Arabidopsis thaliana: one gene and its partners. The protein of the gene in region 1 interacts with the protein of each later gene in a pairwise test. Each region holds a gene or a part of one and is shown in the gene's direction. Other genes may lie near its edges.

The links.
Region 2: the proteins of HAM2 (region 1) and AT3G13227 interact in a two-hybrid assay, tested with the Arabidopsis thaliana proteins (one large-scale study listed by BioGRID).
Region 3: the proteins of HAM2 (region 1) and ckl3 interact in a two-hybrid assay, tested with the Arabidopsis thaliana proteins (one large-scale study listed by BioGRID).

The regions. Positions count from the first base shown.
Region 1 is NC_003074.8:22,409,631-22,414,346, reverse strand, and holds HAM2 (GRAS family transcription factor), read left to right. Parts: upstream 1-1,683; 5' UTR 1,684-1,979; coding exon 1,980-3,851; 3' UTR 3,852-4,107; downstream 4,108-4,716.
Region 2 is NC_003074.8:4,256,245-4,259,203, forward strand, and holds AT3G13227 (serine-rich protein-like protein), read left to right. Parts: upstream 1-1,637; 5' UTR 1,638-1,783; coding exon 1,784-2,119; 3' UTR 2,120-2,404; downstream 2,405-2,959. Other genes in the region: AT3G13224 (RNA-binding (RRM/RBD/RNP motifs) family protein), read left to right, coding at 1-377; AT3G13225 (WW domain-containing protein), read right to left, coding at 2,684-2,767, 2,856-2,959.
Region 3 is NC_003075.7:14,249,188-14,255,527, forward strand, and holds ckl3 (casein kinase I-like 3), read left to right. Parts: upstream 1-1,947; 5' UTR 1,948-2,163; coding exon 2,164-2,239; intron 2,240-2,335; coding exon 2,336-2,376; intron 2,377-2,578; coding exon 2,579-2,648; intron 2,649-2,737; coding exon 2,738-2,886; intron 2,887-2,989; coding exon 2,990-3,085; intron 3,086-3,162; coding exon 3,163-3,233; intron 3,234-3,343; coding exon 3,344-3,405; intron 3,406-3,480; coding exon 3,481-3,544; intron 3,545-3,670; coding exon 3,671-3,755; intron 3,756-3,834; coding exon 3,835-3,961; intron 3,962-4,068; coding exon 4,069-4,145; intron 4,146-4,233; coding exon 4,234-4,291; intron 4,292-4,366; coding exon 4,367-4,503; intron 4,504-4,726; coding exon 4,727-4,861; 3' UTR 4,862-5,759; downstream 5,760-6,340. Other genes in the region: ckl4 (casein kinase I-like 4), read left to right, coding at 1-10; AT4G28870 (mutator transposase MUDRA protein), read left to right, coding at 1,234-1,533. UniProt on the Arabidopsis thaliana protein: Protein kinase involved in blue light responses (e.g. hypocotyl elongation and flowering) by phosphorylating CRY2 to reduce its stability.

The DNA.
Region 1 (4,716 bases):
TGATTAAATTACGCAAATTGGTCATTTTTTAATCCTAAAATATAACAACAAAGCAGAAAGAAATACTAGTTTAATAGAATACATGTTGTTAGACATATTACAAGGTGGTGGAAATTCACATGGAGGTTTCTTGTTTGTCTTGGAGGAAAAAAAACATGTCTCCCATTATTACAATGTCCAATTACAAAGATTTTTGTTTTTATATTATTTTGGCTTAAAAAATAGAAATATGTTTAGGGCAATCACATAAGCCATGTCTCCCTTCCATTCACACACAAACTACCAAAAGTTCCAACTTGTCTTCGCAATCCAGCTCCACCTCTTTTCTTTTTAATCTCCTTTTGGTATCCTCTATTCTATTACCGCCACCAATAAACGGCCACTTAAGTATTTCAAGTTTGTCAAAGAAGTGAAAAAAAGAAGAAGAAATGATATAGATGATTTTAGAAAAGAATGGTGGAATAAAACGATTTGATTATCGCAAACACGTGTAAACATCAACTAACATAGGCTAAAGATTTGTCATAATTTTAGTTTTGACCGTGTCTACTTGTCGTTCAAAATTAAACTTGATTAGCAAATGCAAGATTTTATAGTCAATATGTCATTTATTAGTTAGTTTATAAAAAATCTAGACTAGAGCCATGAGATCTTCTCCAGAGTTCATGCAATTTCAACCGTTAGATAAAAAAAAAAAACAGAGTGTGTTAATAGAAAGCAAGGGTAATTATGGAAAACAATGATTAACAATAAAGCCATCTGTATCAAATTCGCTTTTTGCTCTGAAACCTCGGTATATGTTTTTGATTTTTTTAATAGTACTGTCTTTCAGATTGATCGTTATCTAACGCGCCTCAACAGTTCTGGACTATTGAATTACTTACTGTAAGACAATCAACTAATAACTGACTCTTTTAGGTTTTTGGGTTTCGACAATTCAATTTATTTTCTTTCTTTTCTTCATACTCCTATTACTTATTTAGTTTGATCTAATGAATTATACACTATATGATCCCATATTCTTAATAAATAAGTAAATAATTTTGACTATTTTAAGTATTTTTACGATTTCGCTCTCAAAATGTTTTTTACCTGTAATTTCAAAAATAAATTTGACACATCCTTTTTTTTTTGTCAAACATTTGACACATCCTTTAAGTAAACAAATCTATTGGTTTGAAGAAAAAAGAACAAAAATCTTTTGGTTCATTTTCATTTGACCCTTGACTTAGTTTTTATACATATATAATGAAGTATATTTTTACTATCATACTATTTAATATAAAACATGTTACTGCACATATATATTAAATCACCCAATTGCTATTTCACTAAATAACAAATTATTTTACAAGATGCAAGTTTATTTTATAAATCGAACAAAATTTACGAAAAATGTAGAATAGTAATTTTGTCGATATGCATAAAATTTATTGGTTTCCTTGTTTTTTTTTTCCTCAATCCAGTGTTTTCCTTATTTATTATGTTGTCATCATAGTAATTTAGTCAATTTATGATTAAGGCTAAATTTATTCGATTAATGACACTTTGATTTCGATTTTCATGGCTTAAACTTATATAATCAATGATCTCTTGGAGAGTAAGAGTGACGCGCCGTAAGTGCGAGTAGGGTTAGAAACGAGGGGATATAAAATGAGTACAGATGTAGATAAGTAAATCTACAGACACAAGGCACCACACACACAGCAAAAACCAAATCCTTTACTTAAAAAAAAAAAAAAGAGAGCATTTTTTATGAAGATCATCACTTTGGAATGTTGTTGGAATCATCCAGAGTCAATATACATAAGCAACGAGAAGAAAGATTGTTATTAATACCGAGTGTGAGATAATGTGGGCGCCAATTTCAGTTTCAAGCTTTCATCTTCGTCTTCCTCTTTAAGTTCTGAGATCTAGGGTTTTTCTGGGTTTCTTTGTTCTCACTCTTAAATTCTCTTTCTGACTCTGTAAGATTGGTCATGCCCCTGCCCTTTGAGCAATTTCAAGGGAAGGGGGTTCTGGGTTTCTTAGATTCTTCTTCTTCTCCGGGATACAAAATCTGGGCTAATCCAGAGAAGCTCCATGGACGAGTAGAAGAAGATCTCTGCTTTGTTGTCAACAATGGTGGTTTCTCGGAGCCGACGTCTGTTTTAGACTCTGTTAGAAGTCCAAGCCCTTTCGTCTCTTCTTCAACCACCACGCTGTCTTCTTCTCACGGTGGTCCCAGCGGCGGCGGCGCTGCTGCTGCTACTTTTTCCGGCGCCGATGGGAAATGCGACCAAATGGGTTTCGAGGATCTCGATGGTGTTCTCTCCGGTGGCTCGCCGGGACAAGAACAGAGTATTTTTAGATTAATCATGGCTGGCGATGTAGTGGATCCGGGTTCGGAGTTTGTGGGTTTCGACATCGGTTCTGGATCCGACCCGGTTATTGATAATCCTAATCCACTCTTTGGATATGGCTTCCCTTTTCAAAACGCACCGGAAGAAGAAAAGTTTCAGATTTCAATAAACCCAAATCCGGGTTTCTTCTCGGATCCTCCGTCGTCTCCTCCTGCGAAACGGCTCAATTCGGGTCAACCCGGATCTCAACACCTCCAGTGGGTTTTCCCGTTCTCGGATCCGGGTCACGAATCTCACGACCCGTTTCTCACACCGCCAAAGATAGCCGGAGAAGACCAAAACGACCAAGACCAGTCAGCGGTAATCATCGACCAGCTATTCTCTGCGGCGGCGGAGCTCACCACAAACGGCGGAGATAACAATCCCGTTCTCGCGCAAGGGATATTGGCGCGGCTCAATCACAACCTTAACAACAACAACGACGACACTAACAACAATCCTAAACCTCCGTTCCACAGAGCAGCTTCGTATATAACAGAAGCTCTTCACTCTCTCCTTCAAGACTCATCATTATCACCACCGTCTCTCTCACCTCCTCAAAACCTAATCTTTCGGATCGCAGCTTACAGAGCTTTCTCAGAAACGTCACCGTTTCTTCAATTCGTCAACTTCACAGCAAACCAAACGATTCTCGAGTCATTCGAAGGGTTTGATCGGATCCACATTGTCGATTTCGATATCGGTTATGGAGGTCAATGGGCGTCTCTGATTCAAGAGCTCGCCGGAAAAAGAAACAGATCTTCATCAGCTCCGTCGCTAAAGATTACAGCTTTCGCTTCTCCTTCAACTGTCTCCGACGAATTCGAGCTCCGATTCACTGAAGAAAATCTCAGAAGCTTCGCCGGCGAAACAGGTGTCTCCTTCGAAATCGAGCTCTTAAACATGGAGATTCTCTTGAATCCAACTTATTGGCCACTGTCTTTATTCCGATCATCGGAGAAAGAAGCAATCGCTGTGAATCTCCCAATCAGCTCCATGGTCTCCGGTTACCTCCCATTGATACTTCGTTTCCTCAAGCAAATCTCACCAAACGTCGTCGTTTGCTCAGACAGAAGCTGCGACCGTAACAACGACGCGCCGTTCCCTAACGGTGTGATTAACGCGCTTCAGTACTACACATCTCTGCTCGAGTCTCTCGACTCTGGGAATCTGAATAATGCGGAAGCTGCTACGAGTATTGAGAGGTTTTGTGTGCAACCGTCGATACAGAAACTGTTGACGAATCGTTACCGTTGGATGGAGAGATCACCGCCGTGGAGAAGCTTATTTGGGCAATGTGGGTTTACTCCTGTGACGCTGAGTCAGACGGCGGAGACACAAGCGGAGTATTTGTTGCAGAGGAATCCAATGAGAGGGTTTCACTTGGAGAAGAGACAGTCTTCGTCGCCTTCACTTGTCTTGTGTTGGCAGAGGAAAGAACTTGTTACTGTCTCAGCTTGGAAATGTTAAGACGAAAAAGGAGGATATTTTCACGGTTTAATTTTCTTTTTGTAGCTTTTCAATTTGGGTTAGATCACGTTTTAATATGTTTGATTGTGATGTTAACCAATCAAATGATATATATATAATCTCCTTATGTTAGTCTTTCTTTTTTTTCCTTTTTATATTTCTGCATACTGAGATATGGATCCTTTAATACTTCATTTTTTAAGAGACAGAAGATTTGACATGTAATATGTTATAGGTACTAAAGATTAAGAGGTTTCTCAAAAAAAAAAAAAAAAAACTAAAACTTAAGCTGCCTTACACAAATTTCATTTTTCTCTTGGAAGGTCGACTATACTAAATTCGTAGTTCTTTATTCAAATACTAAGCATAGTAGTAATCCTTAACCTTAATCTAACAAACGAACACTGATAAATAAGAGATTTGTGGAGAAAGCTCTAAACCAATGCAAAAAAACTCAATCAGATCCTCAAAATGTCTTGGAATTCGAACGTGTAACCAAGAGGGTAACCAGGAGGGTCTTTGGCAGTAGCAGCGTTTATAAGTTTAGTCTTGCATTTTGGAAGTTTTTCCATGAAGATAGTAATTCCACAAGCTCTTAATAACCGGATCGGTCTTTTGAAATCGATGTCCCCCGTGATGACCATGATGTTGCAAGGAGTTTGGAAATTGGATGTGATGATATTGGCTTGTGCTGGCAAATCATCCGGCGATGTCGTGTTTACTCTCATACCTAACTTTAAAAACAAAACAAAAAGATGTAAATGATTATTGTATGCGTTTGTGAAAGTGAATCAACATAATCTTAAACAGTGGAGAAAGCTCATCAAAATAGAGTTCAAAACCACAACAGTAAATAAACATCATT
Region 2 (2,959 bases), about 18 Mb from region 1:
CACATGGAGGTCCTGCTAGTAGATATGCTGGGGGATATGGGTATGGTCGTGGCAGTGTAGGCCCTGAATTTGGAGGAGGTTATAATAATTATGGGGGTGGTAGTTTAGGAGGTTACCGGAATGAACCACCCCTTGGCTATTCTAGTCGTTTTGGACCCTATGGGAGTGGGTTTGGTGGTGAGGGATATGGCCGTGGAGGAGAAGGAGCCTATTTGGGATATCCTCGTGGAGGAGGGGAAGGCTATGGGGGATATGGTGGGCCTGGTTACGGCGGTGCATATGAATCTGGTGGCCCAGGTGGCAGTTATGAAGGAGCAGGTGGTCCATATGGGAGGGGTTATAGTAGCAGTAGTCGATACCATCCGTATGCAAGGTAGGGTCGAGGTAATAGCAATCAGTTGGAGCTATAGAAGCTTCTCTCACAGGTTCCTCTAGATTGTTCCAATTGCTCTAGGTGCATTCTAGAGTTATCATGTAGCGCCAACATCAGGAAGGGTTGCTAAGGACAGGAAGAGCATCAAAAAGCTTTTATTAGTCATCTTTTAGTTGTGTGTTTACCTAATTTAAGTGTTGTCTTATCTCTATAACTTAGATTGTGTTATGTAGACTTTAGCATATTTGGGCTTGGAGTTTGTTTCTCACTGGCACAAGAATGATTTATCATTTGGTAGTCTTGTTAGATGATCAATTACTCGCTTAGCTTAGTTTTCACAATCATACGAATTAGCTTAAGAAGCTCTGCAAAATGTGCACTCATCTATTCTTTAGAGCTCAAGTTGAATGCTTTATGTGGTCTCTTGTATCTCTGTACATTTTGTTGTGCTGAACAAAGGTTTGACGGCAGTTAGTGCATGTGTAAGTAGGCATATTTTTGTCAGCTGCATACGTAGGTTCTAGCTACAAATTGGAATTGTATGTGTTTGAAAACGTAAAATCAATTATAAATGTTTTTGAAAATCATCTATACAAGCATGGTTATTTGGTTCTTGTTTCCTTATTTTTTCGGGTAAGGGCCACGGATAATTGGTTAGACATTGGTTCTAATAATGTGGGTTTTGTTATCTGTAATTTCTCGTCAAAATGATGTACTGTATCATTAAATGAATATCACTTATTGTACATGCTTTTATAAGTTAATTGAAATCCAAACTCTTTTACGTTTTAAGTGCAAGGATTGAATGATACAAACAGCAAAGAGACAATTCTAAGACAAAGTTTTCAAAAATTTATGACGACGAATGTGTCACACGTACGACACATTAAAAAGAGTTGACAAAAATACATAATACATAAAAGGTCTACCCAATCATAGTTGATAATCTTAATTAGTGATTAAAACGAAGGTGTAAAGTGTAAACATGATTTTAATCTCAATGCTTTAAGGCCGATCTTAGCAGTAGAGTAAAGTGTAAACGAACGTATTGTTTTTACACCTAGAATTTTAAGTTCTGAAATCCATTCTATCTATTTTTGAAATGCAAAAACGATTTTCCAAAATCTCCATATATTTTGTTTGGTCGATTCCAAATCTCTCTATTTAATTGACGATTTTACTGCAAAGAAAACGACAACCTCGGATATTCAGAACCGCAAAGAAAGGACACAAAGGAAAATCACTATTTTTAGATACATAATGTTTACATTAACTTCTCTTTTATAACTCTACAAATCTTTTTTTCTTTCACCAGTTTCACAATTCCGACTATTTTTTAGAGTTTTCTCTATTCGTAAAAAGGTAGAGAAAGAAACACAGAAGAAGGGGAAGGAAAAAGAAAAAACACAAATGGAAGGGAAAGAGGAAGAAGCAAAGAGGAGGATGATGATGAAGATCAAACTTAAGGAGACAGAAGCAGACGTAAGCCAAGACGACATTAAAAGACAAGAAGCTTACAACATGTCTCCACGCGTACGTCGTGGTGGTGGTGGTGGCGGTGGCTCGGTAGGTATGAGCAAGTCATCGAGCGTGAGGCAAAACTGTTTATGCGCACCAACTACACACCCTGGCTCCTTCAGGTGCCGTTACCACCGTCGTAACGCTGGACTCGGGATGTCTCGTGGCACATCCGTTCCCTCTAACCTTTCCATGTTGGCTGGTGGAGACTCTAATTCTCCCAAGTGATGATTAATATATATTATGTGTTTCTTCTCATCAATTTAAAATTCTCGTATGTGTCTGTGTATATACAAAAATGCATAAGTCGAGAAATCTCTGGATATTCACTTTGCTGTTTGCACAAATGAAATAAATTCAAATGATCGTGATTTTTGTTTGCATCGGTTAAAAGTACAAAATGCGCCAAGACCCGCCTAGACGAGAATGCTAGAGAACAAATCATAAACCATATAGTTCAGCCGGCAAGGTTGGATTTGTACAACGTCTATGAGCACCTAGTCGGCGCTACTCGGTCGTTTTAAACATTGTGTTTGGACATATGGAGAAATTGAGTTTCCAAATCTTGTCACTCAATACAAGTCACGTTAGGGAATAGGATTAAGGGAACAAATTATAGTATTACGTTAGCATTGGGAAATGGTAAAATGATATTTTCTTGATTTAGCTTTGTCTATATGTCACCAACACTAGCTCTGTAATAAATTTACATAAAGGTAAGATTAGAGAATCTAAAACAAATGTATCACAGAAGAAATTGTAAAAAATGTGAGACGAGAAAGCAATTGAGGTTCAGGTAGTGGGTCGTGTCCAACTGGTTTGAGATGTACTCGTATTCCCATAGTAAACTTTTTTGGTAGATTCGTCCCAATATGCCTACAAGAGAGATAGTCAAGTGACAATGTTTTAGCAACTGCGTACTCATTTACAAATCAAACGCTAGTGGAATGGTGAAACTTAATACCTGCCATTCCGACGGGAGATTTGCTGAGAGTTTTGTTAGATCAGGTTTTTGCTGCTTTTCGGGGTCTTTCTTCTGAGACTTCTCAGCTCGTTCTCTCTTCCGTT
Region 3 (6,340 bases), on another chromosome or scaffold:
GGGGAAATGATGCAAAAAAAGTTGGAGTATATCATTCATCTGATCTGCTGAGCAAGATTATGTGTGCCTTTGGGTCTAAACTGTGATTTCTGCAGTGAAAAGCTCTAGACTGAGGTTGAAGATCTGAATGGAGTTTTTCCATGAACAGCTTACTGTTTGACAAAAGGCATGAAGATTATGTTTGCTTTCCTTCAAGATTCTCACAAATGACTGACTTCAACCTTTGTATAAAATCTTGCAACCGGGCGTGTAATTTGGTTCTTGTGATTCATTCTCCCAAGTTTTCTTCTATAAAACTTTGTTCGTATTTCTGTACGTAGTTCCCTGTGTTGGGGCATAACCTGGGTTTGCTGTGTCATCAACATTGTTTGCAGAAAATCAAGAGCAAAGCATGAGCAGCTTCAGCAGAGATGCCTTCAAAGGCTTGAGTCAAGAGTTGCTTGTGGCAGGGACATGTCACCATCAAGCTAATGTGCAGCTGACGAGAACGTAAAAGGATAAGCTATGGCTAGCTTCTGGAATGCTCCGAGAAACACTTCCCCCTTTTTTTTTCTCTGAATTTCCTATTCAGTTTAATGGTATTCTGTGTTTGATTTTTCTTACTCGATTTTGTGCATTGAAAAAAATTATATCAAAAAGCTTGACTTGATCCAAACATGCATTTTCAATTGCTATTATTAAAAAAAAAAAACGTATAAAATTGTAGTCTCAATATTGAAATACAAACACCTAGAATTGATCGATTTGGTAGAGAACTAGTTAGTGGATTAAATTTGGGTTGGCTGATTTTCGAGCCATAAACTATTTCGATTCTCAGCTTTCACACCCGGACTTTTGGGCCTTTAAATTTCCACCATCAACTTTCATATTCCCAAAATTACATCATCTATTTTTGGATTCATGCTTAAACATACATTTCCAATTGAACCATTCATTTAACCGGGATTAACCACAAATCCGCGTTTACTGTACCGCGATTGCGATTAACCCAACTAATACCCAGACCCGTTAAGAAAACGACGTCGTTTTCATTTCGTTTAACTCATCAAAAAGAGAAAGAAAACGACGTCGTTTTCATTCTTCTTCTTTAACTCTCAAATCGATTTAGTCGTTCTTCTTTAATCTCGACACTGTGAAATTAGGGTTCTTGAGAGAGAAAGACAAAAGGGGATTTGGGGTTTTCTTCTTCGGTTCGAATTTTTGGGTCTCGATTTGGGTTTCGAATAGGGAGAAATGAAGAATTGGTGGGAGGAAAGATTGATTTACCAAAGCGATCCAGATGACCCCGATTTCGAACCTCCAGAGAGTGACATTGAAGCCGACGATGGAAGTGATAGTGGTGATAGCGGAGTCGAGGAGGACGAAGCCACCAGAATCGAGGGAGAGGACGTCGGGATAGATGGAGACAGAGCTTCTGATGGAGAGGAAAATAGAGAAGACGATGGTGACATAGCGTCTGATGGAGACGTCAATCTAGAAGACGATGGAGACAGAGATGAAAGTCAAAAGAAGAGGACTACCAAATCGATTTGAGAGTTAAAGAAGAAGAATGAAAACGACGTCGTTTTCTTAACGGGTCTGGGTATTAGTCGGGTTAATCACAATCGCGGTACAGTAAACGCGGATTTGTGGTTAATCCCGGTTAAATGAATGGTTCAATTGAAAATGTATGTTTAATCATGAATTCGAAAGTAGATGATGTAATTTTGAGGAATATGAAAATTGATGGTGGAAATTTAAGGGCCCAAAAATCCGGGAGTGAAAACTAAGAATCGAAATAGTTTATGACTCGAAAATCAGCCAACCCATTAAATTTTCGAACCTTCATCATTTTGCAGACCCCAAAAACGGAAATCATCAAATCATCCACCGTGCCAGCGTGACATTACAAAATCACGTAAATACCCTCGTGTTTGTTTATAAGGTAAAAAAAGATTGGCGGACCCAAAATGGTGCAGTAGTTAGGTGTACAAATTTTTTTTTGAAGGATCACTACTACGGCTCAAACAAGCCTGGGTCCATGTCACTACCACCGATGTCAGTCAAACAAAAATAATAATATATGTTTTTAAGTTCCTCTAATTTCAATCTTCTAAACAACAACCCTAAATCCTTATCTCTATCCTTGCGCTTGATCCAGATTCGGTTCTGATTGGAGCTGCCATGGAACGCATCATCGGCGGCAAGTACAAGCTCGGACGGAAGATCGGCGGTGGTTCGTTCGGAGAGATTTTTCTAGGTTTTGTGTTCTCCTCTGTTCTTGTCCCTTTGGTTTTCCGAGTTTGCTTTTTTATTTGAAATTGACGCTCTTCTCTTCTGTTTGTTGTTTTCGCAGCTACGCACGTCGATACCTTCGAGATCGTAGCTGTTAAGATCGTAAGTCCCAGCTCAATTTGCCTTGAGACGAATTGAATCCATCCAATCTGGAGATTTGATTTGGATCTGCTATGTCTCTTAATTGATTTTGTTTGAATTGCTTTACTCTAAAATTGAGCAAGGTTTTAAACTCGGTGCTTTTTAGCTGCAATATATTCTTCAAGCTAACACTTGTTTTTAATTCAATCATTTTCTCTTGCAGGAGAACAGTAAAACAAAGCATCCTCAACTTCTCTATGAAGCTAAGCTATATAGAATTCTTGAAGGAGGAAGTATGATTCTCTTTCCTCTCTTTTCTCAGTTGTTGGACATTGGAGGGATTCATTAGCAGTACAATACTAATTTTTATGTTATGTGTCAGGTGGAATTCCGCGCATAAAATGGTTTGGAGTTGATGGAACAGAGAATGCTTTAGTGATGGATTTGCTCGGTCCAAGTCTCGAAGATCTTTTCGTCTACTGTGGGAGGAAATTCTCACCAAAGACAGTCTTGATGTTGGCTGATCAAATGGTATGGCATGACTTTCAACTATTCATTAGGCTATTTATAATATCTGTTGACTTATACATTGATTATCTAATGTGCTTCCGATTTTCTTATCCCGCTGTTACAGCTAACAAGAATAGAATTTGTACATTCGAAAGGATATCTGCATAGAGATATTAAACCCGATAACTTCCTCATGGGCCTAGGTCGGAAAGCAAATCAGGTATATTTCTGCAACTTCTTATCTTCATCAGATGCCATAAGTAGAGTATGGTATGATTGATAAGTCTCATTTTTCAGGTTTATCTAATTGACTTTGGACTTGCCAAAAGATATCGGGATGCCAACACCAACCGCCACATCCCTTACAGGTATTGTGGCCTTGGTTCAATATACAGATTGTAAATGATCTATCTGTTTTTAAGTTTTACGGTCACGTTAATCATTATACAACTTATTTCCTTTATTCGGCTATATTCAGGGAAAACAAGAATTTAACAGGAACTGCACGATATGCAAGTTGCAATACACATCTTGGAATTGGTAAGAAATGCTGGCATTCTTTATCCTTATGTAAAAGTAAATCGCTTTTGCTCATATTTTGGGTTCTCTTCACAGAGCAAAGTCGACGGGATGATCTAGAATCGCTGGGATATGTGCTTCTGTATTTCCTAAGAGGAAGGTGTGTTGTCTTTTTGAAAGAAACTAGTTAACATTATGTTATTTCGCAGGGTATTTCTATTCCTTGTTTTTAGAGATTTACTTAACTGTTTTTTGTGTTCCTCATTTCATGAACGTCCTTTTCTAGTCTTCCATGGCAGGGTCTTAAGGCTGTTGACAAGAAGCAAAAGTATGATAAAATCTGTGAGAAGAAGATATCAACTCCCATTGAGGTATGTTTCCCTATTGTGTGATTGATTCTTTTTTTGTTAATCCTCATTCGACTAAGTATATATCGATATCCCATTGCAGGTGCTATGCAAAAATCACCCTGTGGAGTTTGCATCATATTTTCATTACTGCCATACACTGACATTTGATCAGCGCCCAGATTATGGATTCTTGAAGCGGCTTTTTCGTGATTTATTTTCGCGGGAAGGTAGGTACTTTGGATAAAGACATCTCTTCATCATTCATAGTTCACTCAGCTGATAAGGTTCACCGGCATCATCTACCTACCTCACTATTATATGTTCTCTTTTGCAGGATATGAGTTCGACTATATATTTGACTGGACTATCATAAAGTATCAACAAGCACAGAAATCTAGAAATCAGTCTCAGGTATAGTTTTCAATGTTTTCTCAATCTTAATTTGCTGCTGTGTCACCTTTCTTGTTACTAACAAAAAGTATTGTCATTTCTACTGCAGGCAGTTCCTGGGTCTAGCAATCCTCGTGCAATGCCAGTGGACACAAGCAATCATCGGGGTTAGCTCTAATTAATAGCTTGTTGTTGCAATTGTTTATTTTGAAATCTCTGTTTTCTGACGCTCTGTTTGGCAGGAGGACCAAATATTTCTTATGAAGCCGAGGCCTCTGAACGCGTCAGATCGGCTAATGCCATTGGTCCAAGCCCACAGATAAATAATAATACTGCTGCAGGGAGGACTCCGGGGTTTGATCACCCTGTCCACAAGAATGTACGTATTTCTGCATTTGCCTCTTCCAAAGAACCGTTTTATTCTGCAAACTCGTTGCTTGTGTTAGCATGTCATGTATAGTATTACTCTCAGAACACTTCATGGTTCCCTGAAAACTGATTTTACCAGTATCGCTTTGTCAATTGTCATGAATTAATGAAACAATATATTGATCTTCGAGATGAGTTCCCTTGACTGTTATTTTACTGAAAACCCATTGCAGATGAACATGCCATCCACTTCATTATCTCCTGCGGGTACCTCAAAAAGAAATGTCGGACCCGAAACCTCAAATTCTGGATATGGGAGTGGGAATAGAACTGGTTGGACTTCGTCATTCATGTCTCCAGAGAAATGATGCAAAGAAAATGTAGCTTTTTCCTGAAATGGTGAGTGAGATGATGCGCTGTTAATGTGACTCCGTGCCCTTAATTCACCTCTGAAACTACAGCAGAAATCAGAACTTGGTGTCACTAACACCTTTGTATCTCCTCCACCTTTGGCTGGAAGAAAGATGCAATGGTTTCTATGTAAATTCTCTGAAGTGTGTGTGGACAAGAAGGCGTTGGTTGAAGCATTTGTGTTTACACACACAAGACATGAAAGTGTATGTGTGCTTTTCATTCAAAGATTTCCCCCAACCTTTGTATAATTCTTACACCCGGATGTGTAATCTTGTTATGTGATTCATACATATCATTTTTAGCTACTCTTTGCTATGTGATCAATGACCTTTTGCTGCAGCTTGATATATGTATACATGTTAATGGATAGCGTCATTCTTTGCAGAAATCCAGAGCCAAGCTTGAGCTGAGATGAGTCTTCAAAAGGCTTAGCAATGCACAGGTTTCTTTCACAGACGCCCAAGTTCGATTCTTATTTTTGTGCAATTGATTTATGAGGAAAGATTTTGAGAGTCAACATGGGATTCAAATAACTCGGAGACAGTGAGTAAGAAACTATTCTGGGAGAGAATAAAATGTTTGAGAGCTCATGAAGCCAGTTGAAAAACGATTTGATGCGCTCGGTCGGAGAAATCATCATCATGGAAGAGGCAGGTGACCAGGTGTAGGTTGTATTTGTACAGCTGTAATGGAAACCTATCTTAGGCCATAAGGGAAAATCCAATTTGTGTAAACTAAAGTAAGTTTGTCTTAAATTTCTTCATAGTGTTTAGTAATTAGTATCATATACTCTTCAATATTTGCTTTTAAATATTTCTGTTATCTTTATATATTGTGAAAATTGAAATCAAATCCAGACGGAACCTAAGTAATTGAAAACCAAAACAAAAATTAAATTGAAAGTAATTTACTACAATTTGAATTAAGCTACATCATTATTGTTTTTAAACGAAAATTTGATCCGATACCAACTCCAAAGAAGACTGAACTCTACTAGAAAGAAAGGGGCGTTATTCTAAAACAGGTCCATATTCAACCTAATACACCTATAATATAAAATAGTTTCGTTAGGTTCTATTTAATAATTTATTTTAAATTTAACTTCCATTCGTAATCGGCATAAGTTGGACCACATGATAAGTATGATGATGCAATGACTTGCTTTTTACATAACAACAATCTTTGGCCTCATCTACCTATTTCGCATTATAACATGTTCTTTGAATCGTTTCCCATTTTGTTTTTACATCATACAAACTTAAAAAGTTTCATCTACGGTGCTGCACCTGCACTCGAAGCAGCCCAGGTTCCATCGTGGTGTCCTTCGTTACAAAGTTAAGAAAGAGGTTCCAAAATAAGACATGAAAAAGAAGAAGGTGTTCCACTTATTTTTAAGACTGTTATATGCTTATATGAAGGACAAAATATACATC